Daphnia pulex: one gene and its partners. The protein of the gene in region 1 purifies or fractionates together with the protein of each later gene. This does not show direct contact. Links are inferred from orthologs where the notes say so. Each region holds a gene or a part of one and is shown on either strand. Other genes may lie near its edges. The genes, in order: kinesin-like protein KIF23, ADP-ribosylation factor 6, 14-3-3 protein epsilon and protein ECT2-like.

The links.
Region 2: the proteins of kinesin-like protein KIF23 (region 1) and ADP-ribosylation factor 6 purify together in Homo sapiens (affinity purification with western blotting; 3 studies listed by BioGRID and IntAct, with this or other methods). This does not show direct contact. The link is inferred for Daphnia pulex from reciprocal best matches to the Homo sapiens genes KIF23 and ARF6.
Region 3: the proteins of kinesin-like protein KIF23 (region 1) and 14-3-3 protein epsilon purify together in Homo sapiens (affinity purification with mass spectrometry; 4 studies listed by BioGRID and IntAct, with this or other methods). This does not show direct contact. The link is inferred for Daphnia pulex from reciprocal best matches to the Homo sapiens genes KIF23 and YWHAE.
Region 4: the proteins of kinesin-like protein KIF23 (region 1) and protein ECT2-like purify together in Homo sapiens (co-immunoprecipitation; 3 studies listed by BioGRID and IntAct, with this or other methods). This does not show direct contact. The link is inferred for Daphnia pulex from reciprocal best matches to the Homo sapiens genes KIF23 and ECT2.

What each region holds. Positions count from the first base shown.
Region 1 is NC_060023.1:8,669,996-8,677,672, reverse strand, and holds kinesin-like protein KIF23, read left to right. Parts: upstream 1-3,158; 5' UTR 3,159-3,336; coding exon 3,337-3,347; intron 3,348-3,476; coding exon 3,477-3,702; intron 3,703-3,780; coding exon 3,781-4,014; intron 4,015-4,073; coding exon 4,074-4,183; intron 4,184-4,244; coding exon 4,245-4,463; intron 4,464-4,517; coding exon 4,518-4,689; intron 4,690-4,754; coding exon 4,755-4,988; intron 4,989-5,053; coding exon 5,054-5,305; intron 5,306-5,366; coding exon 5,367-5,507; intron 5,508-5,573; coding exon 5,574-5,815; intron 5,816-5,878; coding exon 5,879-6,203; intron 6,204-6,264; coding exon 6,265-6,471; intron 6,472-6,548; coding exon 6,549-6,620; intron 6,621-6,680; coding exon 6,681-6,845; 3' UTR 6,846-7,049; downstream 7,050-7,677. Other genes in the region: anaphase-promoting complex subunit 2-like, read left to right, coding at 70-144, 224-638, 702-807, 875-1,013, 1,091-1,238, 1,297-1,522, 1,589-1,817, 1,890-2,141 and 2 more.
Region 2 is NC_060019.1:11,265,859-11,273,407, forward strand, and holds ADP-ribosylation factor 6, read left to right. Parts: upstream 1-2,656; 5' UTR 2,657-3,249; intron 3,250-3,473; 5' UTR 3,474-3,497; coding exon 3,498-3,579; intron 3,580-3,661; coding exon 3,662-3,765; intron 3,766-3,837; coding exon 3,838-4,036; intron 4,037-4,108; coding exon 4,109-4,251; 3' UTR 4,252-4,896; downstream 4,897-7,549. Other genes in the region: microfibrillar-associated protein 1-like, read right to left, coding at 1-157, 220-298, 364-682, 752-969; coiled-coil domain-containing protein 174-like, read right to left, coding at 5,314-5,873, 5,952-6,122, 6,186-6,407; uncharacterized protein LOC124189974, read left to right, coding at 7,373-7,445. UniProt on the Homo sapiens protein: GTP-binding protein involved in protein trafficking that regulates endocytic recycling and cytoskeleton remodeling. GTP-bound form plays an important role in the transport of multiple palmitoylated proteins form the Golgi to the plasma membrane.
Region 3 is NC_060024.1:10,587,667-10,595,189, forward strand, and holds 14-3-3 protein epsilon, read left to right. Parts: upstream 1-2,346; 5' UTR 2,347-2,513; coding exon 2,514-2,577; intron 2,578-4,237; coding exon 4,238-4,437; intron 4,438-4,498; coding exon 4,499-4,605; intron 4,606-4,931; coding exon 4,932-5,069; intron 5,070-5,123; coding exon 5,124-5,338; intron 5,339-5,431; coding exon 5,432-5,493; 3' UTR 5,494-5,881; downstream 5,882-7,523. Other genes in the region: piwi-like protein Siwi, read left to right, coding at 1-62, 134-256, 327-502, 568-682, 763-1,092, 1,159-1,275; INO80 complex subunit B-like, read right to left, coding at 6,705-6,840, 6,896-7,101, 7,176-7,276, 7,336-7,465, 7,522-7,523. UniProt on the Homo sapiens protein: Adapter protein implicated in the regulation of a large spectrum of both general and specialized signaling pathways. Binds to a large number of partners, usually by recognition of a phosphoserine or phosphothreonine motif.
Region 4 is NC_060024.1:8,171,945-8,179,678, forward strand, and holds protein ECT2-like, read left to right. Parts: upstream 1-2,607; 5' UTR 2,608-2,802; coding exon 2,803-2,914; intron 2,915-2,979; coding exon 2,980-3,047; intron 3,048-3,105; coding exon 3,106-3,369; intron 3,370-3,439; coding exon 3,440-3,652; intron 3,653-3,713; coding exon 3,714-3,860; intron 3,861-3,918; coding exon 3,919-4,053; intron 4,054-4,111; coding exon 4,112-4,262; intron 4,263-4,330; coding exon 4,331-4,554; intron 4,555-4,616; coding exon 4,617-4,805; intron 4,806-4,870; coding exon 4,871-5,239; intron 5,240-5,339; coding exon 5,340-5,459; intron 5,460-5,545; coding exon 5,546-5,714; intron 5,715-5,776; coding exon 5,777-5,931; intron 5,932-6,000; coding exon 6,001-6,086; intron 6,087-6,158; coding exon 6,159-6,357; intron 6,358-6,426; coding exon 6,427-6,528; 3' UTR 6,529-7,206; downstream 7,207-7,734. UniProt on the Homo sapiens protein: Guanine nucleotide exchange factor (GEF) that catalyzes the exchange of GDP for GTP. Promotes guanine nucleotide exchange on the Rho family members of small GTPases, like RHOA, RHOC, RAC1 and CDC42.

The DNA of each region.
Region 1 (7,677 bases):
GAACTGAAGTTCTTATGAAAATTGTATCTTTTTCTAAGAGCGTGTTAAAACCCAAAATTTTCGCACGAAATGAACACAGTGAAGCCAGTTTCATCTGCTTGGGACTATCTGAAACAAACTTTGAACCTTGATGGAAAATGTCAAGTATGATTCTTTTTTTGTTACTTGTAGATTTGTTTCATTACTCTTGTTTCACGCTCACCGTTTGAATTTTTACATGCAGAAGGAATTAGACAGAACCGAAATTGAAGGATGTGCAGAATTCATTGTTAACCATGATTTGGTAGACTTCAGCAAGGAATTGGTTTGGCAGAAGCTGTTCAATGACACACGAAATAGGATAACCCCTAATTTTTGGTCCAGATTTGAAGTGACTCAGAATGAAAATTCTGGTTACGAAAACTATAGGGAGGCTGTTAAAGTTCTGAACACCGACATTAAAAGCCTTCAGCATTACTTTTCCTTGTTGGATCACCTGTCAGGAAATGTCACGCCAAAATCATTCGCCCAATATCAGGCACACCTCAGTGCAATTTTGCTGTCTCAGATACCACCAAAGTTTGAATGCTGTGTGAATTTCTTCTACAGCCGAGCTTTCAGAGCATTCATGTCTTTAGAAAAAAGGAATTTTAACTTTGGTATTATACTTGTTCTAAAGTAGGTTTATAATTGAATTTTTAATTTACATCTTTCTACTCAAGATGGAGATGAGTCTGGTGATGTTATCACTCACTGTTCAGGGTGTGACCAAGAAATTGATCAATGTGAATGTAATGTCATTCTAGACAATTGTCATAACACCAACAAGTAAAAAAAAAAAACATTTTTCTCTTTGATTATGTTTCAGCACATTTGATCATATTTATTTTTTTAGGGCTTTGGCTGAAATAGGAATACTTGAGAAACTATCTGTGGGGATGATTCACACTCTCATTTTGACTCAAATCCAATCACATGTCCAGGATTCATGTGTAGGAAACTTTTCCTCTTCTCAAATTGAAATGCTTGAAAAGGTATTTTATTAATGTGCTAATGGTCTTAATGGGCATTTGAATCACCCTGTTCGTTTCTTGTTCTGAACCATTTGCAGTGGTTGCAAAACATAATTTTTCGGTGGTTAGGTATCGTCTATGGAGAAGACTACATCCAACAGGATCAAGTGCGAAAAAATTTTACCCAATTCCTGTACCACGCCTATACACACGCTAGAATCGAACAGTTATTCGAGATCATTATCGGTTCGTCAATTCCAAATCATGTATTGTGTTCATTGTTTCATAATCTTTCTTGTAATAGGCTACCCCGAGAGCTTTCCTTCGGTAAAGGATTTACAGGAATGCCTTTCACGGACGCAGTTGAAACCAATTTTGGCGCAGTCTCTTAAAACGACTTTAGAAGCAAGATTGCTTCACCAGGGAGCCACAACAGAAGACATACTAATCGCCTACGTATCGGCCATAAGAGCGTTTAGCGTACTTGATCCCACTGGCGTGCTTCTCGATGTAGCGTGTGATCCGATCAAGTATTATTATTATTCAATTTCGATCCGTCACTTTTGGCTTATGATGTATTCAACTATTTCCAACAGGCAATATTTGCGACTTAGAGGAGACACTGTTCGGCATATAATTCACAGTTTGACTGACAGTAGCGGAGAGCTGGGCGGAGAGCTTGAGTTGGGAAGAACGGGAACTGCTATACTGGATGAAGAATCTGTTGCAGCAGTTGGAGATACCGAAGCCTCAACCGATTGGGAAAATTGGCTTCCAGCACCAAGCGATGCCGATCCTAGCAAACTTTGGACAGGAAAAAAGCCGGTAATTTCATCTTGTTAATAAAGATGTTTTTAAAATAGTTTCGGTTCTGTAAAACAAATTCTTATTTAAAAGGGCGATATTGTACCAATGTTGGTGAACATCTACGGCAGTAAAAGCCTGTTTGTCAAGGAATATCGCAAGCTTTTGTCGGATCGATTGCTCCTGAACCTTCATTTTGACACAGAAGAAGAGATTCGTAATTTAGAATTTCTCAAAATTCGATTTGGAGAAAACGAATTGCACAATTGCGAAGTGATGCTCAAGGACGTGGCAGACTCCAAGAGAATCAACACCCACCTACAGTCGGTCGTGCACAAACCTGAAGTACGTTTTTAATTCGTTTAGCGCATCGATAAATAAAAGTTAATTTTTTTTCTATTTATTTCCATCCAGTTTCCGATTTCGGCTATGATTATATCAGCTCAGTATTGGGACCAGCTGAAGGACAAACCGATGAAGTTGCCGATCAAAATCATCAACCAGCTCGAACAATATAATCAAAACTATAAAACGGTGAAAACGAGTCGTTCTCTGCATTGGGTACCTCAGTCGGGTTCTGTGGAACTGGAACTGGAGTTTGATAATCACCGTTGCGTGTCTTTCACCGTCCCGCCCGATTTGGCTGCCATCATATCTCATTTTGAAGACAAGGATCAATGGGATTTGGAAGAGCTTAGCCAGGAAATGGAATTACCAATGTCTCATCTTCGAAGGCGAGTTCACGTGTGGCAAACACACGGGGTCCTCCAGGAAATTTCTACTGATCGCTTCAAAGTGGATGAAAATGGACCAAATTTCACAGGACATAAGGTATATCTTAAAAAGTTATTACCGTTTCTCAAATGTATGTATTTTGCAATTACGTCCTTTTCGTAGATTCTTTTAGAAACGCTAGCGAAAATGGAGGAAGAAGAAGAAGATGACGACGAGGAAGATAGTGAGAAAAAAACGGAAGAAGATGGTTTGCAAGTTTATTGGTCGTACGTTGTTGGCATGCTGACAAATCTCGAAGCCCTTCCAGTTGAGCGTATTCACCAGATGCTTAAAATGTTTACAATGCAAGGCTCTAGTGGGGCAGAGTGCACTCTGCAACAGTTGAAAAATTTCCTTGATTCAAAAGTTAAGCAACAGTTGTTGTCTTTCTCCTCTGGAATGTATAGACTCCCCAAACCATGAACTAATTTTTTTAATGATAATTTAAAAATGTGTATTCATTACAATAAATTTTCTGAAGTGATTACCTCTGTAATGAAATAAAAAGTTGTTAAAATACGTTTAATATTTGTATTCGAATTTTCAAATTTCAATGTCATAAATAAGTCAGGTTACTGGCAACGCTGTATTTCGAATTCACACCTGGCGATTTGGCGATGCTGCACTCAGTTTGAATGAAACGACAATCGACAACGGCCAAAAAGTTTGCCCACTGCACAGACAAATCGGTTTACATTTTGAAATCCCTCATTCGTTTTAAATATTTGACAGGGGTTCATAAGTACTGAACCGAATAGGCTCGAAAATGAAACCATCGTAAGTTTTCTACAAACCGTATTAGTGTGTGATTTGTGTTTCGTGCTCTCTTCATGTCCGATTATGCTCTTTTTTTCACTATGCTTTGTATACGAAAGAAGTTAAGAATATGTTTTATGTTGATCTTAGGCGATTGAAGATTGCACCTAAGGTGCCAACCAAACCACCAATTACCCCAGCACGGTCCAAACAAGCATTGATGACTTCCAGAGATCGGGATCCTGTGCAAGTGTATTGCAGAATCAGACCTCTTGATGTCCCCTCTGATGATTCGTGTGTAACTGTTTTAAGTGACACTGTAGTTCAAGTTGTACCTCCAGAAACTTCTCAAGGTTACAGAAGTGGAACGACAAAAGTAAGTTGACACTTTATTTCCCAGCAATTTATTTTTGAAAGTACTTTCAGTATTTTAATCTTGCTTTCTTTTTGATAGGCAACACAATATACATTCACTGGTGTGTTTGACGAGAAGACCACACAGAAACCTATTTTCCACACTGTGACTTTACCGCTAATAGAAGACTTGCTTCATGGAAAGAATAGCTTGCTATTTGCCTATGGAGTCACAGGATCAGGAAAAACACACACAATGAATGGTGAGCTGCAGGATGGTGGCATTATCCCTCGTTGTTTGGATGTTATTTTTAACAGCATTGGTCACTACCAGGTATTTCAAAAATAAAAATGTCGCAATACAGTTGTACTAACTAATCTTCAATCTACCAGGCTAAAAAGTATATCTTCAAACCAGATAAAATGAACAGTTTTGAAATCCAAAGTGAAATTGATGCATTATCAGAAAGGCAATCTGAAGCTCAAACTTCAAACAAGTTCAAGTAAGAATACCAAATTCTTAAAAATTTTTGAAACAATCTAATTATAATTGCGATACTTTAGGACACCTGCACGCAGAGGACAAGAGAACGAAGGGCCGCGCGTAACGGATGCTACACGGATTTCAGCATTAGATGAAGACCAGGCTTATTCAGTTTTTGTAACGTTTGTTGAAGTTTACAACAATACAGTCTTCGATCTGTTGGACGATACTCCTATCGATCCTCTTCGACCTGGCAAGATACAATCAAAAATCTTACGAGAAGACCAACATCACAATATGTAAGTGAACAGTTCACTTGTTAAGGTGAGCTGCTTTAACCTATTTATTTGCAGGTATGTTCATGCTGTGACTGAAGTTGAAGTTAAGTCGGCCGATGAAGCTGCTGAAGTTCTTGCCAAGGGACAAAAGCGACGCCGTGTTGCTCACACTACTCTCAACGCAGAGTCGAGTAGAAGCCACTCCGTATTTAACATCCGCGTTGTTCAGGCTCCGCTTGATTACCAGGTATCATCGATCGATCACTAAGTCTGCGATTTTAATTAAAAAACTAATCAATTGTTAATTTTAAGGGTGCCATTCCAGAGAAGGTGCTAACTGTAGGACAGCTCTCATTAGTTGATCTTGCTGGTTCAGAAAGAAACAGTCGAACTAAAACCACTGGCGAACGTTTGCGTGAAGCTGGTAGCATCAACAACACCTTGATGACGCTTCGATCTTGCTTGGAAATTCTGCGCGAAAACCAATTGAATGGCACTAATAAAATGGTGCCCTACCGTGATTCTAAAATCACACATCTTTTCAAGGTAAGCGTCCTGTCAAGTTCATAATGTATCTAATATTACTAAATGCTAAAATGTTTTGTAAACAGAGTTACTTTGACGGCGAAGGAAAGGTTAGAATGATTGTTTGCGTGAACCCGCGTGCGGATGATTACGACGAAACTCTTTCCGTGATGCGTTTTGCTGAAATGGCTCAAGAAGTGCAAATCGCTCGTGCCGTACAGCCCAATATTCGCTTGGAAGCTACTCCTCGAGCAACGCCAGCTGGAAGAGACGCCCTTCTCCCAGGCCGCAGAAAGGCCAATCGTGTTCTAACCGAGGCATATCGCAAACTGGAACAGGTTTTTATTCCATCAATGCGAGTTTATTAGTCTCATATTTAACTTCAATGTGATTTTGCAGGGTGGAATTTCGAACCCCCAATCAGAAGTGCCGTTTGACATTGATATGGTTTTCAGTGCGGCTCGCTGTTCGTGGCCTCCTCTGGAATTACAATCAGCATCGGATGATCGACTTATAACGGCCTTGGTTGAGTATCTGCAGGTAGTTGTTTTATATTTCAGCATAAATTTGCGAATGCTATACACGTGTGTAATTCCTTTCTCAAAGGTGCGAATCCGTGATCAACAGAGTCGCCGGGAGCAGCAAATGAAGAAATGTGTCGAAGTCCGAACTCTTATTCGTGAAATGGAAGAGGAGCTCATTTTGAAACGTCAAGAGAACTTGAGTTTGAACGAGCAATTAAAAGATGAGCGTTCGCGTTGTCAAACATTTGAAAACCGTGTCCTCAATGCGGAATCGGCTAACGCTACCTTACAGCGCCATGTACTCGAGCATCAAAAATACGCCAGGTAAATATTCCCAGATAAAAACGGCTATTCACCAGTTTTTAATTTTCGTCTTTCTCATTTAAGGTTGTTGGAAGAAGAGTTGAAGGAGAAAGATTGCCTTCTTAATCAGGGTGAGATGGAAATCCAACACGTAAAAGCCAAGGAGAAGACAAAACGGCAATTGGAACGCGAAAAGTTAAAGAAAGAACTGGACCGTTATAAGCAAGTAGAATCTCAACTTCAGCGACAAACAGAAAGATTTCTGGTTATGCGCGACTTGCTGGATGCCGGCTGCTCAGTTAAAGTTCCTGGCACAAGTGGATCTAGCGAATCCGAATCACGCACGCCTTCGATTGGAGCTACACATCGCGTCTCTGATCCCAGAGTCGTTGGAACCCCTTCTTTAAGAGTAAGATGCTAAAATTCCCTCTGGGTCGATCAAGATTGTCTAATTTGTATTTTTTTTGTAGGGACCAGTTGTATCCACTAGGAAACGCCGATCACGTTCTGTAGATCCTGGTAAGGGATGGATAGACCATCGCCCAGAAAACACTCTTGAAACAGATACCGTTTTCCAACCACAAATGAATCGTGCTAAATCCATTACTAAATTAGTAGATTCCAAAACGATCACCGATCCAAAGGTTTCGAAATACGTTCTGACAACGCAAGAACAGGTAAATTATTGGATCACTAACAGCACATTCCAACCAAGCTTATACTTAAAGGATGTTTTTATTTTTGTCTTTCTTAGGATTCGTCCGGAGAAATCGAAACGAAACTTTATAAAGGCGACGTGTTGACTACTGTCGGTGGTGGAGCTCAGGTAAATACTTAGTTAATTGTTTTTGAATACCCAGATTTTTTAATTTCTCTATTTCGAAAGGTTGTGCTGCAAGACGTTGAGATTCTTCGACATTCGTCACCAACTGCTGCCAAGCGCCATAGTGATGGCAGACTAAAGGATGTACACAGTCGTGTTGCTGATATTGAGAACCGTTGCGGCTACGCCATTGAAGGACACGGTCGCGTTAAAAAGCACTGCCCTTGAAAGAACTTGCTACCCTGCCCGAACTGATCGACGAACAAAATTTCTTGAACTAGGTTAGCGGATTTCCCTCTCTCGCCCCTGCTTTTTTCGCTTCACTTTTAGCAATTCGTCTTGAAAAATTTTTTGTATTTCTTTTACATGTGCATTATAACTTTACTATCGTATTTCGTTAATACATAATACACCGAACAGCTATGTCAACAATTGGTTTGTCTTGAAACTCACTAACTCAGACATCTCTCCACTTACATACTCTCCCCTCTGACAAGGTGAGATCGTGGAAGTTAATCAGTTATGCGTTACGTTAAGGTAAGAAGAACATGTGATTATTCATACGTTCTATTTAGGGCTTTCGCCAAACGTTATCGCAAGTATTTACATACATTTCTTTCGAAGATGTCGAAAATAGAGTAAAAAGGTTATTTTTGTGGAGGAAGAAATAGCGAGTTATTTTTGTGGAGGAAGAAATAGCGAGTTAGCGACATCGAGCTTCGGAAATTGGCTGGCAGAGCGGCAGCACTGCTTTCCAGTCCTTACGGAAGTTCGTCTGCAGTGTAAAAATGAAGAATAACTTATGAATTGTGAGGCTGCAAACTCAGCATGGCGTTGTAAAGAAGTTTCAACCGTTGAATTAATATTTAAATGTGGTGGGTTGAGTCTGAGCCGTCCAGTAAAAAAAATGTTAGAAACAATCCAGGATTCCCAGATAACTTCGGTACAAGAAGTGAGGTATGCATTGTTTCACCTGCAGTCCTGCATATTCAATCTCTCTGTGCTGATAAAAGTGAAAGAAAGAAGTGATACAAGAAGATTTTGTTCTGTGTGTTTTTTA
Region 2 (7,549 bases), on another chromosome or scaffold:
TTTAAGGTATAGCGGCGACGTTCTTCGGCAAGCTTTTTAGCTTCAAGTTCCATAAGCTTTTGTTTTTGCAATTCCTTTTCCTTCTCAGCTATGGTTATACGTTCTTTCTTGCTAACGAAGATGGGCTTCAGTCTTGGACCCGTTTCTTCCTCAGAATCTAGGATAAAAAACACAACAGATTTAGAGTCTTGTTCACATCAAGGGACTTTTATTTCAAACCTGTATATTCTTCATATTCTGAAGCTTCGTCATCTTCATCTTCCTCACTTTCCTTCTCCTCCTCTCTTGCCAACAACTCCTACAACAAAATTTGCAATTGAATTGAATTGATCAATGATCATACTACAAAGTATATTAACTTACTTCTTCTTGCTGTTTAATAACAGCCTTCTGACGTGCAATCATTCTTCTGCGCTCAATGTCATCTTCATCAAGATCTTCTGCCTCATCCTCTTCTTCACTTGATTCCCATCTTCGGGCATTTTTGCTAAAACTTACTTCTTCACTTTCTAAATGAGGTGTTACTTCATCTTCTTCTGTTCCAATAATTTCAGGCTCATGGATATGACGATGCCTTTCAATTCTATGGTCGTCAACTTCACGATTTAAAAGACGTTTTAATCTTCTGTCACTGTGAGCAGTAAGTGGAAGATCTGGGGTTTCGTCCCATTCTTTTTCAGGACTACAATTTAATCAAATTTTTTAAATATACAAGCATATAAATACATATCTACAATCAATAATTTAATACCTTTCTTCTACTGGTCTTCCTCTTGCCTGCTTTCTTGGTCTGATAAACTCTTCTTCATCACTATCATCTGAAGATGAATGTGTAGTAGCGTAGTCTGGTCGTTTGCCTGATACGTAACGATTGACTTTAACTTTTTGCATAGATATCTCCCCTTTGTCATTTTTCACAGGGATAGCACCCGCGGTTGAAAGGATAGGGACCACTTTGGATGACGACATTTTCACAAAAAATTGTCTTAATCTTAATACGGAACGACCATATACACGCGTTTGTTGTCTGAATTTTCACTCAATGTTTTTTTCGTTGCCATTGCATACTCTATTCAGGGCCAGTGGGCCACTCATCGGATCACCAGAGTGCAGAGTCCTCTGTTGGCGAATGAAATTGAAGACGACTACTGCGCCATCTAAGAACTTAAATTGAAATAAAGAATGACGTGACTTTTGCCGTCTCCTATGGCACGTAATATTGTATGACATGTTATTGCAGACTGTGACCAGTACCCAGCAATTGATGTTGCTGTAATCCACTGAAAATCTGATTATGCTGCTTCTAGGCAACACAATGCAAACACGATAGTTTTATCTGAGTTTTATTAGCTGATAGCAGGATCAGGATAAAGAGGCCGTGACCAAAATCCATGGAGACCTTTCGCCAAGTTCTATCCAGGGATTGGCAACCGTGAGGAATCTCGTTTACCTTGAAGTGCCTAAGAATCACGAAATAAATCTGAGAAAATTAATGTCGGAATTTAGGAATTTGGACCTCATTATGACGTTACAATAAATCACTCATTTATTGTATATAGCAACTACCTACTTACTACTTACTTTGTAGGAAATTACTTATGTCGTAGCTAGATTTTACACATCGCACTATTTGATCGCAATGGCGGTGGTTTTACGAGTTTCAGCTTATTATCAACTGTTTCGAAACACCAAAGTATTCAAAGCTCCGCATGACTTCGTGCAGTTTTCACCGGATCGTCGAAGATATTGAACTCAAGGACATCGATTAGACACACACTTCAAAATTTACCTCACGCTATATTCCACTAAATATATCCGCTCGAAAGTTTAACCGAATATTTTTGGTGGTTCTACCGCTTTTTTTTTATCGTCATAGCATAATAATGTGCGGTTTCGAAATTCTACTTCGATGTCTCCATTTTATTTCTTAATAAATAACTGTTTTGTACTGTAATAAAAGAAAGGAGCTAAAATAAATCTTTCCAGGCAACAAGCACTAGTGTGCTTATTTATAGAAAAATACCTAACCAGTAATAAGTATTGTGGGAGAAAAGCAAATCTTTTGAGTAGTCAAGTACACATGTGTCCGAAAAGCAACAACAAGAAATAACAATCCATCAAAAAAACGTCATAACATGGTGGCGGTGACTGTATAGAAACACTATGTACAAACCATGAACATATTTATGGTGAATATGCTTCTTTTGGAAAAAAAACAAAAGACTACGGCTAGCGGCTTACATGGTGAAATGTTTCAGTTGTAAAATGAGTAATTCAGCTTCCTTAAATGCACTTTGATAGCCGAGACAACCTGTTAGCTGTTGCTGCGGGGGGTTAAGGGAGGAGATAGGGATCCGGCTTGAGGCATTTTGTCGACTTCCGGCAACCTAAAAAGAAAAATGTGTTCATGAATTTCAACTTTTCTTTCGTAATCTTGACGCCAGAGACCGCTACTTAAATTGAAATTATAGACGTCGCTACTAAACACTTGCCGTATTGCCGATCAAATTTTTAGAAATGTTAGAAACTGCTAAATAAATTTTCCCCTTTCGAACCAATGAATCCTGCATTAAAAATTATAATAAAATAATTTATCACTCGTTGTTTCAATAATACATTTTAAAGATGTGGGAGGGAACACGTTGACGGTTAGGGAATGGTTTTGAAATCGAATCAAATCGAAGCTTGGGTGGGCGGATCAGAAGGTGGGCAGAAAAGGGGACACTGGCTGTCAGTGTTGGAATTCCATCTGCTCAATTACACTGGTGTGTGTATGTCATTCCTCTCGTTATTCCACTTGAATAAGTGTAATAATAGAAATAATTGATTAGTTGAGTGGAATGTGTTAAAGTCTGAAATAGCTAGTTGTTTTCAGACGCCGCCGTCACCAAAATTGGAAGAAGGAAAAAAAAGCCATCTGGTGAGATGCAAGGAGTACTATTCTGTCTGTTCATTACATTGGAAGGCCCGAGTTTTTTGGATCTTCTGAAGACTTGCAAAGATATCGGGAAGACCGGGTCGGGTGTTTGGGCGGCTAACTGAAGTGACAGGTGCCTTTTTATCTGAAGAAGCAAAGAAACTATTTATTTTCGCCTGTTTCCAACGCCTTCCATCGATTTCTTAGTGCTCACATCAAAAACAAAATAGTGTTTGTGCAAATAACGACTCCGGTTCATAGGAATGCCTTCGAAAATACTTCCATATTACAGCTAAAATTCCAGTAAACGTCATTGTTGAGTCTACATTAAAGTAAGTGGAAAACCTGATCTGATAATAGTATGTTAGCTAGTATGCTGTAAATGACTGAGCAAAGTCTGTTTATTTTTTTCTGATAACAACTTTTGCCACAAATGTCACTGAAAAGTTACCAAACTAGTTTGACACTTCAGTTCTACAGATGTGGATAAACTATATGGCTGTGGCTGACAGGGTCATTTTGTTGCTTGAAATAAAGTTCTTTTCTTGTAAAACAGCTTGTTAGTGAGCTGATTAGGAGAATGGGGAAAATACTGTCCAAAATATTCGGAAACAAGGAAATGAGGATACTCATGCTGGGGCTGGATGCAGCTGGAAAAACAAGTGAGATAAAGAATTTTATGTGTTGTCTGATAGCATTGGTTTTTTTCCAAGTTATACTTATTATTTTTGTTTTTCAAAATAGCAATTCTATACAAGCTGAAATTAGGACAGTCAGTCACAACAATTCCCACCGTTGGATTCAATGTTGAAACTGTAACATATAAAAATGTCAAATTCAATGTTTGGGTAAGCTAGTTCCTTTTGACCTCACCCATCAAATTTCTAAACCCAACACTAAAATATGAATCATTACTGCAGGATGTTGGTGGCCAAGATAAGATCCGCCCACTGTGGCGACACTATTATACTGGTACCCAAGGTTTGATATTCGTTGTGGACTGCGCAGATCGAGATCGAATTGACGAAGCTAGACAAGAACTTCATAGGATCATAAACGATCGTGAGATGCGTGATGCCATCATCCTTATATTTGCAAATAAACAAGACCTCCAGGATGGTGAGTATTTTACAATTATTATAATTGAGACTGTGGAACCCCAATTTATTCACGACATTTTCATGTTGACAGCCATGAAACCACACGAAATTCAAGAAAAACTGGGGCTGACTCGTATTCGTGATCGGAACTGGTACGTCCAGCCAGCATGTGCCACAACAGGCGACGGCTTGTATGAAGGACTAACGTGGTTAACATCTAATCACAAATCGTAATGAATCATTCGTTCAAGTGCTGTGTATAACAAAATTCAACAAGGTCGTGGGGCGTAGAGGAAAGATTTAGGAAACAAATAACTAAGACTATATGATTGAAGATGGCATCTCACTGCAATAGTGTGTTGCCAAAGTGCGCTATGGCATCAAATAATCAATACCGTACCGGACGCGAGGGCAGCCCACAGTTAATTTGAAACAAAACAAAAATATTGTGGGGTCTGTTCTCACGAAGCCCACAACACGAGCTCTTCCAAAATTGTTGTGCTGAATGAAAAAAAAAAAAAAACTTGACGACGACGACAAATCCTCCTCCTCTTCTGTTTCAAACTTTGGGTTGTATTGCATAAATTTGCATCCGTTTGATTCCCGCGTCCGTTTATGTTTTACTCTTTTCATAATCGATTGTTTCTCCCATCCCCTGTTATGTGTAAGTTTTGCTCCTAAAATTTTCAACCATTCCCCATATCCCTCGAGTTCGGCCTCCACCATCTCTTTTCCGGTCCCCCCTATTTTAATCCCTTTTTTACTCAATTGCATTAGAATGTTGAATCTAGCCCACAGTGTGTAGATGTATGATGAATGCGCGGTAAAAATTTTTTTGCTTGTACCTAAGTAAATATAATTACATAATTTGTTCCAGTTTTTATTTTACCGAATGCCGGACTTGCTAAACTCCCTTTTGATTACTCGGTCGTCCTCTGAAAAACAAAAATAACAGTCGCGACTTCTTGACACTGCCTCTAATACATGGATCTATGACATGTTGAAAGTTGATTTTCTAGGTCATTTGTCGAACGTTAACACCGCCTGATCAAACAAGAATTAGGGCGAGTCATTTGCAGGATGCACGGGTTTTCGAATCGCCTTTTTCGAAAACTCCGTTATCCAACTGGCCATCCGTTGTCCTCATTTTCAAATTCAACCATTCTCTTGTCAATAAAAGAAAAGGGCGCTCCTCTATTAATGTGTGTCCGGTAGTAGTAGTAACCAGACAATATAACCCTTCAGGGACAATTTGTGGTGTAGTATATTGTGAGCAAGCATATGGTGTCCAATGTCTTATTGAGAAAAATCCCACTTGGGACGAGTCGCTCCTTTCGCTGGTGACGAGTTGTCATCACCAGCATTTTTCCGTTGGTTGATACCTACACTGAATGACTGTGATACATCCGTCCGGTGGCTAGACACGCCTCTTCGTGCTGACGAGTTGTTGTAATAGTCCATGGAGGAGGGTGGTGCAATTTCAGCTCCTCGACTTGGCACTGATCGCCATCTAGATGAAGGCTCTGCTACGTGGGGTTCGTCCGTCTCCCCAGGAGGCATTAAATCATCGTCGTTTTCTTCTTCTTCTTCAACGACGTCTTTTTTCCCATCATATCTATTGGGAGGCGATGGCTGTACGCCAGACCTGCTGGGAAATTGCATCTGCTTCATGAAAGCCAATCCAGAAATAATAGAATCCTCGCTGATCACTGGCTCCGTTTTTATAATTGGATCTTGATGCTTAGCGAACTTCCTCGGCCTTGACGTATCGGTACTCTCCGTGAAAGCGGAAGGAGGTGCAAATTCTTCCTTTCGTTCCTCCCGTTTCTTCTCGACCCAGCTGCTCTGAGTCATAACTAGAGAATTCGATGAAACAAGAGAACCGTAACATAATCTACTCGTTAAAAAAGAGACTCAGATAAACACATTAGTACCAGGTTTCTTGGGGACACCTTCTTTGCCAAAATCCCAAGGTCTGATTTTGGCAGATTGAGGCAATCCTCGAGCTGCCGACTTTCTCAAGTTATCTTCCGCTTCCTTTGCGCTGTCAGTAGTGGGCGGGGCTTCAGGCTCCGGAGGTGTGGGCAGACGTTTAGGATGTTCTTCTGCAAATACAAGCAGACAAATAAACAAATTACAGTCATTTTAGACGCCCATCAATCTCACACTTCTTATACTCAAAGGAGGTAAGCCCAATTTTTGCCGTTTGCGATCCCGAACTTTCTTTAATCGCGCCTCCAACGCTGATTGTTTATCTGCTGATGTTTGAGTTGTCTGTGCTCGGGCCGCCTCCGTCAATTTTCGAATTCTTTCCAGCTCCTCCATCTGCTTTGCACGTTCCTCTTCATCCTTGGAAAACGAGTAAAAACCCACGCCATGCTGTCGAGCCTCTGCACGCACACACAGAGAGAAACAACAACAGAAATGCCATTAATTACACACCGCCAAATTCTGCATGCCACTAACAAATCCAAGAGCCGTTAGCGTAGTCAGTACGTAACGAATTGAAAGTGGCTATTCAAATTTACAAAACAATCGAGCCTGGTGGTAAACAATGAAACGGCGTTTCCGCTACGGACAAGCATTACTTTCAATTTTCATGCCGGAAAACGATGGAACGGAATATAGAGAGAAAGAAAAGAACATTCCAACAGCCATTTTCCCCATTCTTAATTAGAAGGATATGGGCGGGAGCTATGTACACCCGATATCTTCCACCCAACGCTTTTGTGTGCTGGCTAACAAAAGGAGAGAGAAAAACACAAAATTCCCCCCCTCAACAGACGTTGCTGCCACAATTATCCTCTCATTCTTTTGTCACCGCCAATTAAGCTCGATTGACAGTGGTGGGCGTCAGTCGACGGAAGGTATTACGTTAGAGATAAAACTGCACTGGAAACCCTATCCATTATGCAAACCACGGAAGAATCCTGAACTACAAAGAGTGAGGGGGACGTGAGAGCATTCGAATCGATCGGGCAACAAAGGTGAGAGAGGAAAAAAAATCCCTCTAAAGGTGAAAATGGATGGAGATGCGCATTCTGCCTCCTCAAATCGTGACGCACTCGTGCGCTTATTCAGGAGCCATCTATTCATGATGGTGTCTTCCAGATGTTTTCCGTCAAACACAAGAAAGAAAAGAATAACACGCTGCAACCGGTTGTTGTCAACAATCGCCCGACTATATGCAAAGCGTACTGGATAATCACGAACGACGGAGAGGCGGCTACCAATGGAGAGAACCTTAGTTGTCTCAGCTGCTGCTCAGCTGCACAGAACAGGTATAGATGCGACAGAGGACGGATCGTCAACCGAGCCACTGTGCCAGCCCAAGTTAAACAAAGAAAATATATAAATGGTTATGGGATTCTTCAGAGTCTGCCTGTTCTTCCTCGTCGCCACCATCACTTTGTGCATCACAAGACAAGGCAAGTGAATTCGATTCGCTTAGTTTATCCTTGAACGAACGTCCGGTCCTTGGTATTAAACGTGTTTTCAACTCCCTACTCGGTTGACATTAAGAGTCACGTCG
Region 3 (7,523 bases), on another chromosome or scaffold:
GAGCAGATACGTATGCTTCAATCAAGAAGATGACGATCTCAGAATTCGGCATTCCATCTCAGGTATCCGTTTGAAAGGGAATCGTAGTTGGCATCTTCATGATTGTTTAACTAGATTTGATCTTCTTGCACAGGTGATAACGGGAAGAAATATCAAGGGACAGCCCGGTAAGCTCATGTCAATCGCCACCAAAGTTATGATTCAAGTTGCTTCGAAGTTGGGTGCGGAACCTTGGAGAGTTGCAGTCCCCCAGACGGTAACTTTTCTCGATCGAGACGTTTGCTTCTTGAATTCTTAATTTATCTTTTGGCTATTATTGAATGTAGAAATGGATGGTTATCGGCTATGATACGTACCACGATGCACGTCAAAGAAAAGCTGTCGGTGCATTTGTTGCATCCATCAACCCGACCTTCTCGCGTTACTATTCTTCTGTGAAAATTCATGAAAACAATGAAGAAATTTCACCCAGCTTCAAAGATCATCTCTTTGGCGCACTCAAGTATGTTTTATTATGCTTTCTTTGTTCCGTGCAAAATAATATCTCTTTTTCATTCGCACAATTAGATCTTATTACATCATGAACGAAAAAACATTGCCGGAAAAAATCATTGTCTACCGTGACGGTGTCGGTGCTGGAGACATTGCGCGACTGAAGGATACGGAAGTGGCGGCACTGAGGGTAATAATGATGAGTGACGGTCTGTGGGAAGATTTTGAGGCTCGTTTTTCTATACAATTATCATTTTTTGGCTTGAGTAGGAGGCTTGTTCCGATGCTGGTGCTCGAACAAATTACCTCGGGACTGGTGTGTATAATCCACCCATTGCGTTCATTGTCGTAAGCAAGCGGATCAACACGCGATTTTTCGCCATGGGACAACGTGGAGCGAGCAACCCTCCTTGCGGCACGGTTGTCGACAATAAAGTGACGCTCAATGAGAGATTCGACTTCTTCCTGGTGTCTCAAAAAGTTACGCAAGGTACCGTTTCTCCCACCAGCTACAATGTTATTGAAGATGACACTGGAATCGCCCCTGATATTCACCAGCGACTGGCTTATGCTCTTACCCATCTTTACTACAATTGGCCTGTAAGTTTTTTTATTTTTATTGTCTATTTTATTCAGAATTGAATTTAACCAATTTGTTCATTTAAGGGTACCCTGCGTATTCCAGCGCCCATCCAGTATGCGCACAAGTTGGCGTACCTTGTTGGTGAATCAATGATGACGCAACCGCATGAAGGACTGAATCGACTTCCTTATTACCTTTGAATTACCTTTCATTTATTTTCTCCCTAAGTTTTGTCATTTTTAACGTATTAATTTGTTCACTCATAAGAAAAAAACTAAAAGACGACGAGACATGCCTCACTCGCACGATTTTCGAATGACGCCAAAAATATTTTTCTTGAGTTTGTTTGCAATGGCGGATATCGACAATGGAAGTGTTTTTCATGCAATTTTTTTTTCTGTTTCACCTTCATGGGCCATGTCAGAAGTGTGATAATGAACGCCCCTTTGTGCCATGTTGTATGTAATCAAGGAATGAGTAATAAACCTTTGTTTTTAAATGAAGTAGATTTATTGACTTTCGTGTGGTGAGTTTTTATATGATGAAATAAACATGAGTTGCAATGGAATTCGCGTTGAGATGGCATTGACGGAAAAGCTCTACGTGTGCAATGCACATAGCACATTAGGTGTTTCGAAAGCACTGAGGAAAACAAAAGAATGTGGCATCGCTGCTTGGCAGGCGTGGTCAAGCTGACAGCTGTATCGAGAAGAATGCAGGCCTGCAAGGCCAACAAGGGTACGTCTGGGCAGGATCGTCTGGGCTTCCTCGATAGTCAACTTTCAGGTCCGCAAAAGCCAAAAGAACTCGCAAGTCATTGAATTGCTAATTGTCCACTAGAGACACCATGCGGCTGTCTCTTTTGTAACCAAGGGATCTCAATCGTCCCACAGCGAACTAAATCGTTTATAAAAATTATTTCAATACTATAAAATGACTTGATTTCATAACTTGAAGCTTTTTAAAAACACGATAAAATAATATTTACGTAACAAAATAGATGGTTGCTAGACATCCAATAATGAATTCACAAAAAGTATGCATAGAATCAAATGATTAGAATGAACATGTCATTACTCGGATAATAGAAAATTTGAATAAAAGTTTTATTTCATAAGAATTAATTAAATACCTAAAAGATTAGACAGCCCCCAAAGGTGTTTGGCCTTGTATAGATGTCAGCACTGTACGCTGCTAGATGCATAGGTAATAAGAAACGAGATCTGGCAATCTGGCCTCTTCCCATCCCATCGACTCTCGCTGGCATTTTCCGCTTTAGCTACAGGGCAAAGCATTCTAGCAAGCGTACGGTGGAGTCTCAGTTGCTAGCTACACTCTTTGGTCTTAGTCGAGACAATTCGAGGCAGGTTCCGATTCCAACGGTCTCGCTTTTGTTTCTTTATCCAGTGACATCTGCTTATAGTTTATTCCAGCAGCCATGGCAGACAGAGAGGATAACGTTTACAAGGCAAAACTCGCCGAACAAGCCGAAAGATACGATGGTACGTAAATGTCATTTAAATGTAAAATCGAAAAAAAGAATGAAGTTTCATTTCCTCTGTGTCTCTATGACTGTGCATCTCTGTGGGTAAAACCGAACGAGACGGTAGGCGGCTTTGAAAAAAGGCTTGGGCGTTTGACAGACTTATGACGTTTTGACTTTTTGTCTTTTTTCTTGTACATTCGGTTGTGTAATGGGGAAATTCAGCGGCGTCCCCCCTCTTAGTGTTGGCTTGAATACTTTCGATCAATATGACACTCGTACTTGAGGTTCATTTTTCCTGACAATTCCATTTTATCAAGTATAGTATAATCTCAGCCATGTTTTCTAGAATCTCTTTTGAGGGTTTTTGTCGCAGTACGAAATAAAAAAAAAGTAATTCTGGGTGTGTGTCCGGTGTGTGTGTGTATCTCTGGGTGGTTTTCCTCGAAACCTACCGCTACGTAACGAGATGACTTGGATCAATGAGTCATGAGAGAGAGAGAGAGAGAGCAGAGACTTTGGACTGTCTCTTTGTATACTTGCTTTCCAATAACTTTTTTATTCTCTTTTTCGTGAAAAATACGTAGTCGTTTCTATTCAACTTGGGCCTCTCACCATTGCGCATCACCAAGGCGACGGATCTCTTCAAAACGACGCTCGGTAGAGTACCCCACCCTTATGTGCGTGATGCGTTGGGGGTCCTGGCTACGTTGATGAAAACGTGCCGTCTAAAAAAGCTTCTCTCTCTCTCTCTCTCTCGAGGACATCAAAAAGGAAACCGTTCACACAACAATGGCCGCCTGTGATGGTTAATTTTCTCTTCTATATTTTTCTCTCGACTCTTCTGTCTGCGGCTTACAAAAACCAAGAATCGGTCAAGCTCTGACAGTGGGCGGAGAAACCCGATGGAAAATTAGCCACCATTTTTATTTTTCGTCTTTTTCCTTTAGGAAAATATTCCAACTGGTATGAATGGGGCGTTTTTCTATTTCCACATATTTTCGAAAAAATAGTTGTCGCACGTGACGCGTCTCGTGCCTTTTGTCGTTGTAGAAAAAAAAAATTAGTTTTTATATTTTTAACTTTATTCCCCCCCCCCCCCTTCACGTTTCAATGATGGAGGGAAGTTGGAAAGAAGAGAAAATGCGGTGTGGGTGTGTCGCCCTAGAACCTGTCATTACGCCACTGCGATGTGAATCCAAGTGGAGAGCCTGTCCGTGCATACAACTCGATCGTCTGGTTATTATTATTTCCCTGAATTCAAACATGTACGCCCAGCTGGAGAAACTTTTATTTTTCAATTCCTCCCTTAGAAAAAAAGAGGACACACATAGTTTTGTGTGTGTGTGCGTAACGTCAACTCGGTTTGCCCCTGTACTTTTCCTTCCTTCCGCCGTGGGGATGCTGATGTTGGGGGTTATATGACGACTGCGACGTGCTGGATGTGTGGAGAGCGGGCGGAACTAGGCGGTAGCGTGTTTCCTCCCGTGGCCGTTATTGATCCGCTACTTGAAAAGTCGCTCGAGTGTGGGGGGTGGGGTAGACAGGGAGATGGGGGGGAAAGAAGGCAAAGCCTTTATGTCTGAAAGTGTATCTATCTTTTTCTGTCCAAAAGAGAAAGGGATCCTCTGACAAGTTTCTTTGGCTAAGACTATATGATAATCTGTTTGTTGATGCAGAAATGGTCGAGTCCATGAAAAAGGTGGCGTCGATGGACGTCGAGTTGACTGTCGAGGAGCGGAATCTGCTGAGCGTGGCTTACAAAAATGTGATCGGCGCTCGTCGTGCATCTTGGCGCATCATCTCGTCCATTGAACAGAAAGAGGAGAACAAGGGAGCCGAAGATAAACTTGAACTCATCCGCAATTACCGCAATCAGGTATGGATAATGTATTCAAATTTTATTCATTGATTTGTGCCTTTATCTGTTTTGTCTATAGGTCGAGAAAGAGCTGAAGGACATTTGCTCTGATATTTTGAGCGTCCTCGAGAAGCATCTCATCCCATCAGCCACCACTGGAGAATCTAAAGTCTTTTACTACAAAATGTAAATCGATTTTTGCTTGGCCTTTTTTTTTTCAATCTTGCGAGTAGTAGTTGGACATTCCTATTAAATGCACCGGTGGATTTCTCTCAAAGTCCTTGAGACTCGAGCGTCTGTGATTTCGAATTCTACTCGTGTTTCGCTTTGAGAGAAAAGAAAAAGTGTCGTTACTATCTCTACCAAACGTGTACACAATTTTATCGTACGTAAACGTTGCGCCAAGCGCAACTTTGTGTGCGCGCAGACATGTTGTGGATGGATGGCCTGGTATTGATTATTGACGATTTTACACAACTCCCTTCCTCTGCTTTTGTCGTTGTGTTATACAGGAAGGGTGATTACCATCGGTATTTGGCCGAATTTGCGACAGGAAATGACCGAAAGGAAGCTGCAGAGAACTCGTTGATGGCTTACAAAGCCGCCTCCGACATTGCCATGACGGAATTACCCCCCACCCATCCCATCAGGTAACTTAACTAACAATTTGTTGCCGATCCTCAACTTAACTTTATCATTTGTAGATTGGGATTGGCCTTGAACTTTTCCGTCTTTTATTACGAAATCCTCAACTCTCCGGACCGAGCGTGCCGGTTAGCCAAGGCAGCTTTCGATGACGCCATCGCTGAGCTCGACACCCTTTCGGAGGAGTCGTACAAGGACTCGACGCTCATCATGCAGCTCTTGAGGGACAACTTGACCCTCTGGACTTCCGACATGCAGGGCGATGGAGAAGCTGGTTAGTAGAGCAACAGCTAATTGATTTTTGTCCAATCACGCCAACAGGACTTGTGTGTGTTAATAATTAAAATTTCCTTTTTTAAAAAAATTGATCAAGGAGATGGTGAACCAAAAGCGGAAGTCGCAGACGTTGAGGACCAAGACGTCTCCTAATCGGCGATGTAATTTGTATTGATGTGTTTTTTTTTCTTAAGTCCTACATGATTTGTTCAATTTTTTCATTATATTATTAATTTTTTTTTTTCAACAAAAAAAAAAGTAATCCGGAAATCCACCACCTATGTTTCCTTTACTCTTATCTGTCTCCCATTCGCTCCCCCTCCCTCTAATTGTTCATCCCGCGCTCTTCATCGAACACTGGAAACTGCATTACAACAATTACCGAAACGGTTTGCATGGACACGTGTATAACTCCTCAAAAACAAAACAAACAAAAAATAATTAATAAGCAAAGGCTGTGTGTGGTTTTTGTTGTCATTCCCGTTGTCCCTGCCCTCTGTCTCTCTTTAATTTCCAATAATCATTTCCGTTATCTCTTGGATCTTCCTCGTCGTTTTATTCGTCGAAGATCCAGCGTGCCCGCACACACACACACACAGACGATACACAACACACTCACAGTTTCAATTTCTCTTCGGAATTTTTCTCTCTCTCTCTCTGCGATGTAGTCTGGCGTCACACAAGACTTCACGTGTAACCTTTTAAAACAAAAGCTGCTGTTGTCTTTTCAACTTTTCTGTAAAACTGCCGCGATTTCTTCATTTCCTCAAATTTGTATCAAATGGGATTGAATTTTCTACCAGGGGCTACTAGAGAGAGGAAAGCTGAAGAATTCGAGTAGAGGTAACTGTGGAAAAGTATTTGATTCAGTCTTTCCGCAACTAAATAATTGGCAATGGATTTTTTGAAAAGTAAAAAAAAACACGAATGGAAGAATAATTTCTTGGCTTCGTATCGCATTTTCCCCCCTTTACTATTTACTATTAGGCCTACTATTAAGTTTTTAACTTTTTCCATGTCGCTCGAGCCATTCCCTATTTATTTCTCTGTGGTGTCCAAACATTTGCTCACCATCATAGTTGGGAAAAAACCAAGAAGAAAAAAAAAATATTTGAATTTTGGAAAAGAATTTTTTTTTTGGTCCGACGTGATGTAACCAGTCTCCTTTTTTGCAAAGAAAAATAATCTCCTTTTCCTTTTTCTATCATCTGTCTGGTTGTAAAACAAAATAATCAAGAGGATGACCGCTGCAGAAAGAAAGCTAGGTCAAATACACGCGCGCATTCTTTTGTCCTCGGTTTCCACAAACAATAATTTTTTTCTTATTTAAACACATTTTTATTTTGGTTATGTTAGACGCATCATCATGATATTCTGTGCAGTGTCATATTCTTTCGGTAACATTGGATACTACAGAGTGGCACTGCCGTCTTGGAACATGAGTAGCGCTTGACATTAGTGCATCCTTGCACTCCACAGTTGACTCGAGCAGGTGGTTCTCTAAAATAATAGACAAATTAACTTAAGTTTTATCCATTTGAAAAACATTACATACTTGACACTCTGTGGGGCCAATGGAAAAGCAGCTCCAATAGGTACACTAAATGTTATCTCCCCGTCTTGTGTTTGTTTCCACGTGTAGGAAGAGACGTGACTGGGGACGGAAACAGAGGCTGATGAAGTTGAAGCCGAAATACTCGCAGCACAGGATTTGTTCAGTTTACTTTCCTTCTTCAAGAGAAGGCGATCGATGGTTCGTTTCTGAGTAAACGGGGAAAAAACCAATTCAAATTACAGCGATGAAAAAAGAACAATATCTCGTGCGTGATTAATACCTTTTCCTTTTCTCTTTTTTGAGCAGCCACTTCCCGTCGTCGTTCGGATTTAATGGCTTTCTTTTTCAGTAACTCTTCCGTCATCACGGTTTCCTTGTAACCTGAAACAATCCATTGTCAACTTGCATGGCTGAATCTTAAATATTTTAGAGGGGTGTACCTGTTGGCAGAGCTACTAGTTCCTCTTTGATGATTTCTTCGTTCTGCAATTCTCCTTTCCGCTCTAAGAGCGCGCGTTGGCGAACAGTCATCAACTTGGGGTTCTTGATCTTCTTGAGTTCATCGTCAACCTGTGGAAAGCCATTGAAGATTATGAGGGGCATTTAAATATGAATCATTGCTATACCT
Region 4 (7,734 bases), on another chromosome or scaffold:
CAACAATAAAATGGTCACAGGGTACCAATCACTTTTCTGTGCCTTTCTAGAATCCTTATCATTGTTTGAATGATGGGGCTAGTTCTTTTTAAATTTATGTGTCGTTATACAAATTATTTTGCATTTTTATTCATGTTTAGACAGGTTTGATTATTTTTATATTTTTGATTATAGTAGCTTCACCAACAATTTATTTTTGGTGTGAGTCTTTTTGGAATGAATTATTTAAAAAGATATTAAGTAATTGACTAAAAAGTGCTGAGAATTGAATTATAAATAATTTGTCTTTACCATGGAAGTGTTCAAGACAGAGGAACGAGGACAAAACGAACTGCGTCAAATGAATTTAATAAAATTTTGGCATGCTCCAGTGCCATGCACTTTTAGTTTATTAAAAAAGAGACAAGCAATGAGTTTTCAATCATTGAATTTGGGGTTGTTAACAAATGCAAAAAATCAATTCAATAATGAATGAAGGCGAAAATGGATTAAGCGACTGCGACGCTTTCTATATAGCCAGCAAATCTACATGATATTTCAAACCCGTACGCAATGAGAATCCGTTTAGATGACACTGTAAAACCATTCACAATTACTTTGTAATGACATCTTAACAAAAGCCTATTTTTGAAATAAATGCGGGGGGTGGGGGGCGGGGCGGAGCCGAGGGCTTTTGCATCGCTTTATGAAAATGAAAAGCGGGGGAGCTATAGAAAAAACTAATTTCATGGACAGATTAATTGCTATCTCAACCACCAAATTGCAAAAGTTTTTTTAATATATTTTATTTGTCGAGATATGACCAATTTAGTAAAAAGGCACATTTAGCCGTTTTCCCTCTCTGATAGCAGCAATTTTTTGTACTCTACAAATATGAAGATCTGTATAATTTCTATTGGTCTAAAATGAAGGACAATAATAACAATAATAAGACCTTCGTTGGCTGTATGTCCCCATTATCTCCCATCCCCTGCATACAACTCTCCTTAGAGAGAGCAGAGGAAAGCAGACGAATCTTACTTCGGGATTAAAGACTAAAAATTCCCACAGAATATGAGGATTTTTAAATTTCGCGGTTAGGAGGCGGTGTTGCCATTTGGAAAAAGTACTGGCAGGTGTGGGAAAAACTTTACCCACCTGCGTCCTGTTCCCTATTTCTCCCCGGATTTTAACGTCTGACTGCATACCATTTGATAAAGTTTTTCACGCTCTTTTTTTGGTGTTAATTTTTTTCATCGTAAAAAGTTTTGATTTTTCTTCAAAATTTCGCCTCTTTGGGAGGCTATAACTCCCGAACGCCCCCACAAACATTCGACAGACGGCCATTTCCCATCTTTCCTCATTTAGACGAATCGCTCAAACTATTAAAACTTTCTCGTTAAAGGTTTTGATCGTTTTGTTCGCGGGCTCTCTGGCTTTGTCAGACAAAATCTGACATCATGTGACCTACGTCAATTGGTCAGACAAGGTGGGGCGGACAATTGTAGCAGACATCATCTTGACTAAAATGCTGCGTTGCGGCGATGGTAACAATTGTAAAAAAAACAAGTCGAACAGCCCTATACCTGACCACAGATAAAGACCACTGGTTGACTCTCTCCATAAGAGAATTAACATGGCCAACTGTTGCCATAAATCGTGTACCCTTCCTCCGATTTCTCCGATCTTGGACTACTTGTCCTGCCCTCTAGTGTCTAGTGTACGTTTGCATCTCTACACTCTGCTTAATTCTATTCAATTGCAATGAATTAATTGATTTCTCTGCTTTTGCCATTGAAAAACGTCAAAATTAAATACAATGTGACTTCTTAATAAAAATGTTATGACAAAATTACCTAGGACTTTTAAACGCCAGCCAAGAATTTTACCAAGACAGAAGGAAAACAATCTTCGTCTGCAAAACCCTTCGTAGCCTCGGTACAGTACAGTACTTTATCCGCTAGAGGCACTACAAGCACTCCAAGAACTCGGGGTCAGTAGGGATAGGGCTAAAAGGATAGGAGACAATCAACCAGTCGTCTTTATCTATGACCTGACATTGGGCTCAAAATAATATTTTAAAAATATTTTGAATTGTTTTCAAAATGTTGAGACATTAGAACATTAGAACTCGAAATAAAAATTTTTTGTGTTTGATAATACAATATTTTCAGAACCTGGAACGAAAGACATTATTTAGATTAGGTGAAATTTGGACTCCAAATATTATTTTAATTTATAGAAAATTTGAATTAATAATTAAAATTGATTAACGTGTAGCCTGTTCATTTTAAGTTTATAACAGAAAACTCTGAAAATCGATTGAAATTATTAAAAATTAAATTATAAAAAATTAAAGTATTAAAAATAGCAGGTAAAATAATGGAATTAAAGTATATGCCTCAACAGGCGAGTCACCAGGTGTGCAAACTGAAAGTGTTTGTCATCATCTTAGGGTTTGGTGAGCACCGAGATAAAGAAAGGATCCTCTACCGCAGGTGCATACCAACACACACGTATGCATTGATGTGATGGTGTTTATAACGGTCGCGGAGTCGCGGTAGGATAATGGAAAATTTTCGTATAAACACGGGCAAACTGTCTGGCAACGCTGTATGAAATTTGAAATTTCGGCTTTTTCATTTATGCAAGGCAGTCCAGTGTGGTTTACAGTTGCACAATAAACTCGAAGAAATGGCTCGCCTACTTATTGTTTTTTGAAATTCGATTGTGAGCTCCAGTCTTGTTTGTTATACGGTTGAGAAAAATTTTGGGAGTTTGATTTTCAAACGTTACAACCCGTGGATTTTATTTTAAATCAAAATGATGGAGACAACGTATGACATGTCTGGTTCAGTGTCTGCTTCTATGAATTACCTTACTCTACAAACCCCGTCCAAGAAATCTCGCAGGAATAAAGAGGATTCTCATCCAGGTATAAAAATTTTTACTATCATGTAGAACTGTCACTTCTATTAAATATTTTTGTAAATATTTCAGTTATTACATCCAAGATATGTTTAGTGGGAAGAGTGTGTGATGTGAAAGGGGTTCAAGAAGCTGCCGAAGTAAGTTTTTATACATTTAAAATGTCAAAGTTGTTATTTGTAAAAATGTACTTTCTAGAGTTTTGGAGTACCAGTATTCCATTCAGAAGATGGTCTTGAATTTGTTAACCCTCAGCATGACACAGTGTTTGTTCTGTATGAGTTTTCCGATGAAGTGTTTGAGGTTCTGTACAAGAAGGAATGCAGGATTCTGGGCTACTCAGCTTTGCTTGACATAGTTTCTAAGAAGTATTTTATGCCTGAACTTGATCGGCCATTGTTTTCTATTTCAATGGAGAATGTAGTATCCTGCTTCACTGGCTTTAGAAATCGAGAGGAAGTGGTGAGTTGCTTTAAAAGAAATGCAATTTTCCAATCATTTAACAATTGGAATAATGTTTTACCATCACTAGAACACACTGGTCTCTTGTATCCATCACATGGGTGGCAGCATTCGAAAGGAATTTGACTGTAACAAAATCACCCACCTTATTGCCAATAAAGTTGGAGGAGAGAAATATCAGTATGCAGTCACATTCAATATTCCAGTTATGAGTGCTTCGTGGGTCCACTTAGCGTGGGAAAAACGTCACGATCTAAGTGTTCGTGCCATTGACTCCACAATGGTATTATTTCATTGTCATTATTGAAATTTATTTACCACATCAAATATTTTCCGTTTTGCAGCAAACGAACAACGCACTCAAGATTTTTGAGGGCACCAATGTTTGCTGGATAGGTATTAATGACGAGGAGGTTACTCAAATGAACGAAATTTTGACTACCAACGGAGGATCTGTAACTACATTGGATGATCCTAACTGCACGCATGTGGTAAGTTTCATGTCAATAAGATTTACAATGGTGGAATTTTACGAAATCCTTTTAATAGGTAATAGACCCCCTTGGAGTTGGAAACATTCCAGAGAAGCTACCCAGTAAAGCTATGTTGGTTGAAGTTAAATGGTTTTGGGTTTCAATTCAAATGGATATTTGTGCCAGTGAAAAACTTTATCCTTATAAAGAGGTAATAATTGATATTCTTTTGTTTACTCAACGCTTCTAAAAACCCGGGATTTTTACAGACTCATTTGACGAGCCCAAGGAATGGGGTATTGTCACCCACAACTCCAGGATCTCGAAACCGCAAGCGTAAACGCTTGAGAGACACAGTGTCTCAACTTGCTGCTCAAGGAGGATCGCCTGGCTTACTTCAAGTTCCATCGTCTGGTCATGGTACAAATGTTTATTGCTTGGAGTTTTTCCCCCTTTTAATGACTAACGAAAATGTTGTTTATTCATAGACACTCATCGCCGCCGTTCCTCGATTAGTGAATCTGGCTTACTCAGCCTAAGTGGATCGTTTCTAGATGCCACGAGTCCCGAGAAAGTGGGGGGTCAAGGTGATCTCACCATTTCCGTTCCTACACCACAGGATCTCAAAGCAATGTCCCCTCGACATCAGGTGTTCATGGAATTGTTGCATACGGAAATGAATTATGTGGAAATACTGGAGACAATTGTTGAGGTTTGGTGTTATTTATTGCGCGTTATTTACCACAATATATAAATTCAACATTTCATCCCTAGGTGTTCAAAAAGCCACTTGAGGATCCTAGCCAAGTTGGAGGCTCTTTGCTTGATCCCACGGAGGTCAAAATCATTTTTGGCAATCTACCGCCTATCCATGAAATCCATTTCGAGTTACTTGTGCAACTTAAAAATACCGCACTCAACTGGAGAGAAGACATCAGCGTCGGAGCTTTAATTTTGAAGCATGTAAGTAAAGAATTTTCGCATACCCAGCATATTCGTTTACATAACTGTATATTTTACTTTTGTAGTCGCATGACTTGGTTAAGGCCTACCCTCCTTTTGTCAACTTTTTTGAGCAAACCAAAGAAGTGTTGAGCATGAGCGACCGATCGAAGCCACGTTTCCACGCATTCCTTAAACTGGGTCAGAGTAATCCCAAATGTCGACGGCAGAGCCTACAAGAGCTTCTTATTCGTCCTGTTCAACGACTACCATCCATTAGTTTGCTTTTGAACGATTTACTCAAGCAGACCCCAAAAAGCAATCCGGATTACGGTGAACTGGAGAAAGCTCTGTCCACGATCAAAGAAGTAATGACGCACATCAATGAAGACAAACGGAGGACTGAGGGTCAAGTTGTCCTTTTTGACATTTTCAACGACATCGAAAACTGTCCTGTAAGCTTCGTTAAATTTTGTCATTTAAATAATTTTTCTTTTAATTAAAATAGATGTTAAATTTCAACTCATTTTTACATTATTTCAAATTGAAATTTAGGCACATATTGTTTCTTCCCATCGTAGCTTTGTATCCCAATGCGACGTTATTGAATTGGGCGATGGTATTGTTGGTCGTGGTGGGCAGCTGACACTCTTTTTATTCTCCGACGTCATTGAGGTAAATTTAAAGCCATTTGCTTAGTTCGCATATTTTATTTTTAACTTTTTGTATATTTATTTATTTATTATTATTTTTTTGTATAGATATGCAAGCGTCGATCAAGAGGTAATACTTTAAGGAGGGATGTTAGCACAATCAGCCTCCAGCCGCCAAGAGGAGGTGCTGATAAAGGAAGCAAACCTACTTACAAGCATGTCGAATTAATATCGGTTTCCCATGTTAAAAGGGTTATCGACATTACGGAAACAGAAGGTAAATCTTTTTTTGCCATAGGACCATCCCAGTCTATCACTTCATTCGCAACTTTGTTTTAGACTGTCAAAATGTGTTTGCCTTAATTTGCCGGAGTCACTACGAAACAAAAGAGCGCCTTTATTCGTTCGAAATTACTTCAGAAGACGTAGACAAAGTTGCATTCTTGAAAACTCTTTGTCGATTGATGGCAAACATCACCTGCAGGGCGGACGCGGTACATGCTTTCAATATATAATGTACATAATAAGAATCCGTATATTAACAATATTCTTTGCTTTCACAGGAAAACTACCTGGCGTGCATGGAAGCTCGTCAGCTTGATATAGATACAGGTGACTTAGCTTCGGGCACTCTAAGAAGAGCCGCTAGGTAAATCGCTTTATTTCTCAAATAAGTTTACCTAAGAAAAGCCATAAAATATATCTGAATTTTTCTTTTTAGACTTGCATCAAAGACTCGCATGGCCGTTAACCGAGCGTTCAGTTTCAGCAAAACGCCGAACCGTCTGAAAAGAGCAATGAGCACAGTAATGAGTCCGCTGAGGTCTTCAAACACCTCAATTCTCGGCGATACCTCTCTTGTTAGCCCCATGATGAACGGCGGAGCGGTGGGCATGGCGGCTAGTTGTGCCAACTTGGCGGTAAGGCTTTTTAAATTTATCAATCACTATTTAGATCCATGTTAGAAATGTTCCGTTTTCTTTATCAAGATGATGGATTCTGACACTGGACTAAAAACGACACCGAGTTCTTCGACTTTAAAAAATTTCAAGAGCAATTCCCTTGGGTTTAATGCGCATAAACGTTTGTAAACTGGCATTCAGCGGAGTATTCAACCAAATTAGAAAATAGACATAATGAAAGGCGAACCAACCGCGGAACCAGATTTCACTTCAAGCGAACGCGATTTTTCTCCTCTTATGAGCCAATTTCATGAACCATTTATCATATCCTCACAATTCTGGGTGCCTATCGTCTTCCCATTATGTATCATATACCTTCTTTTTTTTCCCCCAATTATTATTATTTGTGTGTGTTTTGGATAGGCTAGTAGCTCGTCTTCCCTCCATTTTTGTGAGCATCTACCCCCCTTTAAACAAATTTTACAGGACATGGGCTTGGCAGCTAAAGTAATTATGAGCATCATTTTGTGTGACGATGGTATTTTACTTTAGCGGGATGTTGGAATCTGTTTTGATAGAGCGGAAGAGTAACAACGGAAGCAGGGCAACCTTTTCCCTCCCACATGATTTGAAGAATGCCGATATGTTCGGTCACCTGTTATATTCTATTATGAGAAAACTATTTTATCATGCTTTGTTCGTCCCAGCTAATCCCCCGCTCCTTACGCTGGCTTTGCATCTGGCAATACTTCATTTCTTTTACAATTTCTTTTGATTAGTCTCTGCTTTCTAGTAGATCAAACGAAAAACTAAATTTCTAATACACACATCAACGTTGACTCGGTCGAGTTAGCCTCAACACGTCAACTCCTATGGTACCATATTATTTGTTTGTTTCAAGATGTAGGCATGGGGTGGTAGCCCCTACTCAAGTCCCATTCAAAATTTTCATTTGGGGCATTCCCACAGGTTTTTTACAGGTGGGCTGTGTAATTATCACAGTGTCCCTAGTAGCCTAGTTTCTCAGCACAAGTTGTGTTCGTTTGACTGAGGAAGGTTTATCTCAGTTTCTTGAAAACTACTCATACTTGACGTATTCAACCAAGAAACCACAATACAGCGGCAGACAGCGGGAACGAAATGAGCCAGCGTCTGGAAAATGTTCAAGTGAAATATTTGCCTGACTGTCAAACGTCAAGGTAAGAAGAAAGAAAAAAAAAGAAGGATGCGAAAACATTTTGAAAATTTCCGTCTAATTCGGGCGTCAATTAAGATGTAACTCTGGTTTCCACACAACAGACTAGCATGCAGTCCCACAGAAATTAAACAGGGGACACATGGGATACCCACCGCAGGTCCGCTCATGAAAAAGAAAAACAATTATAGTTTGTTATT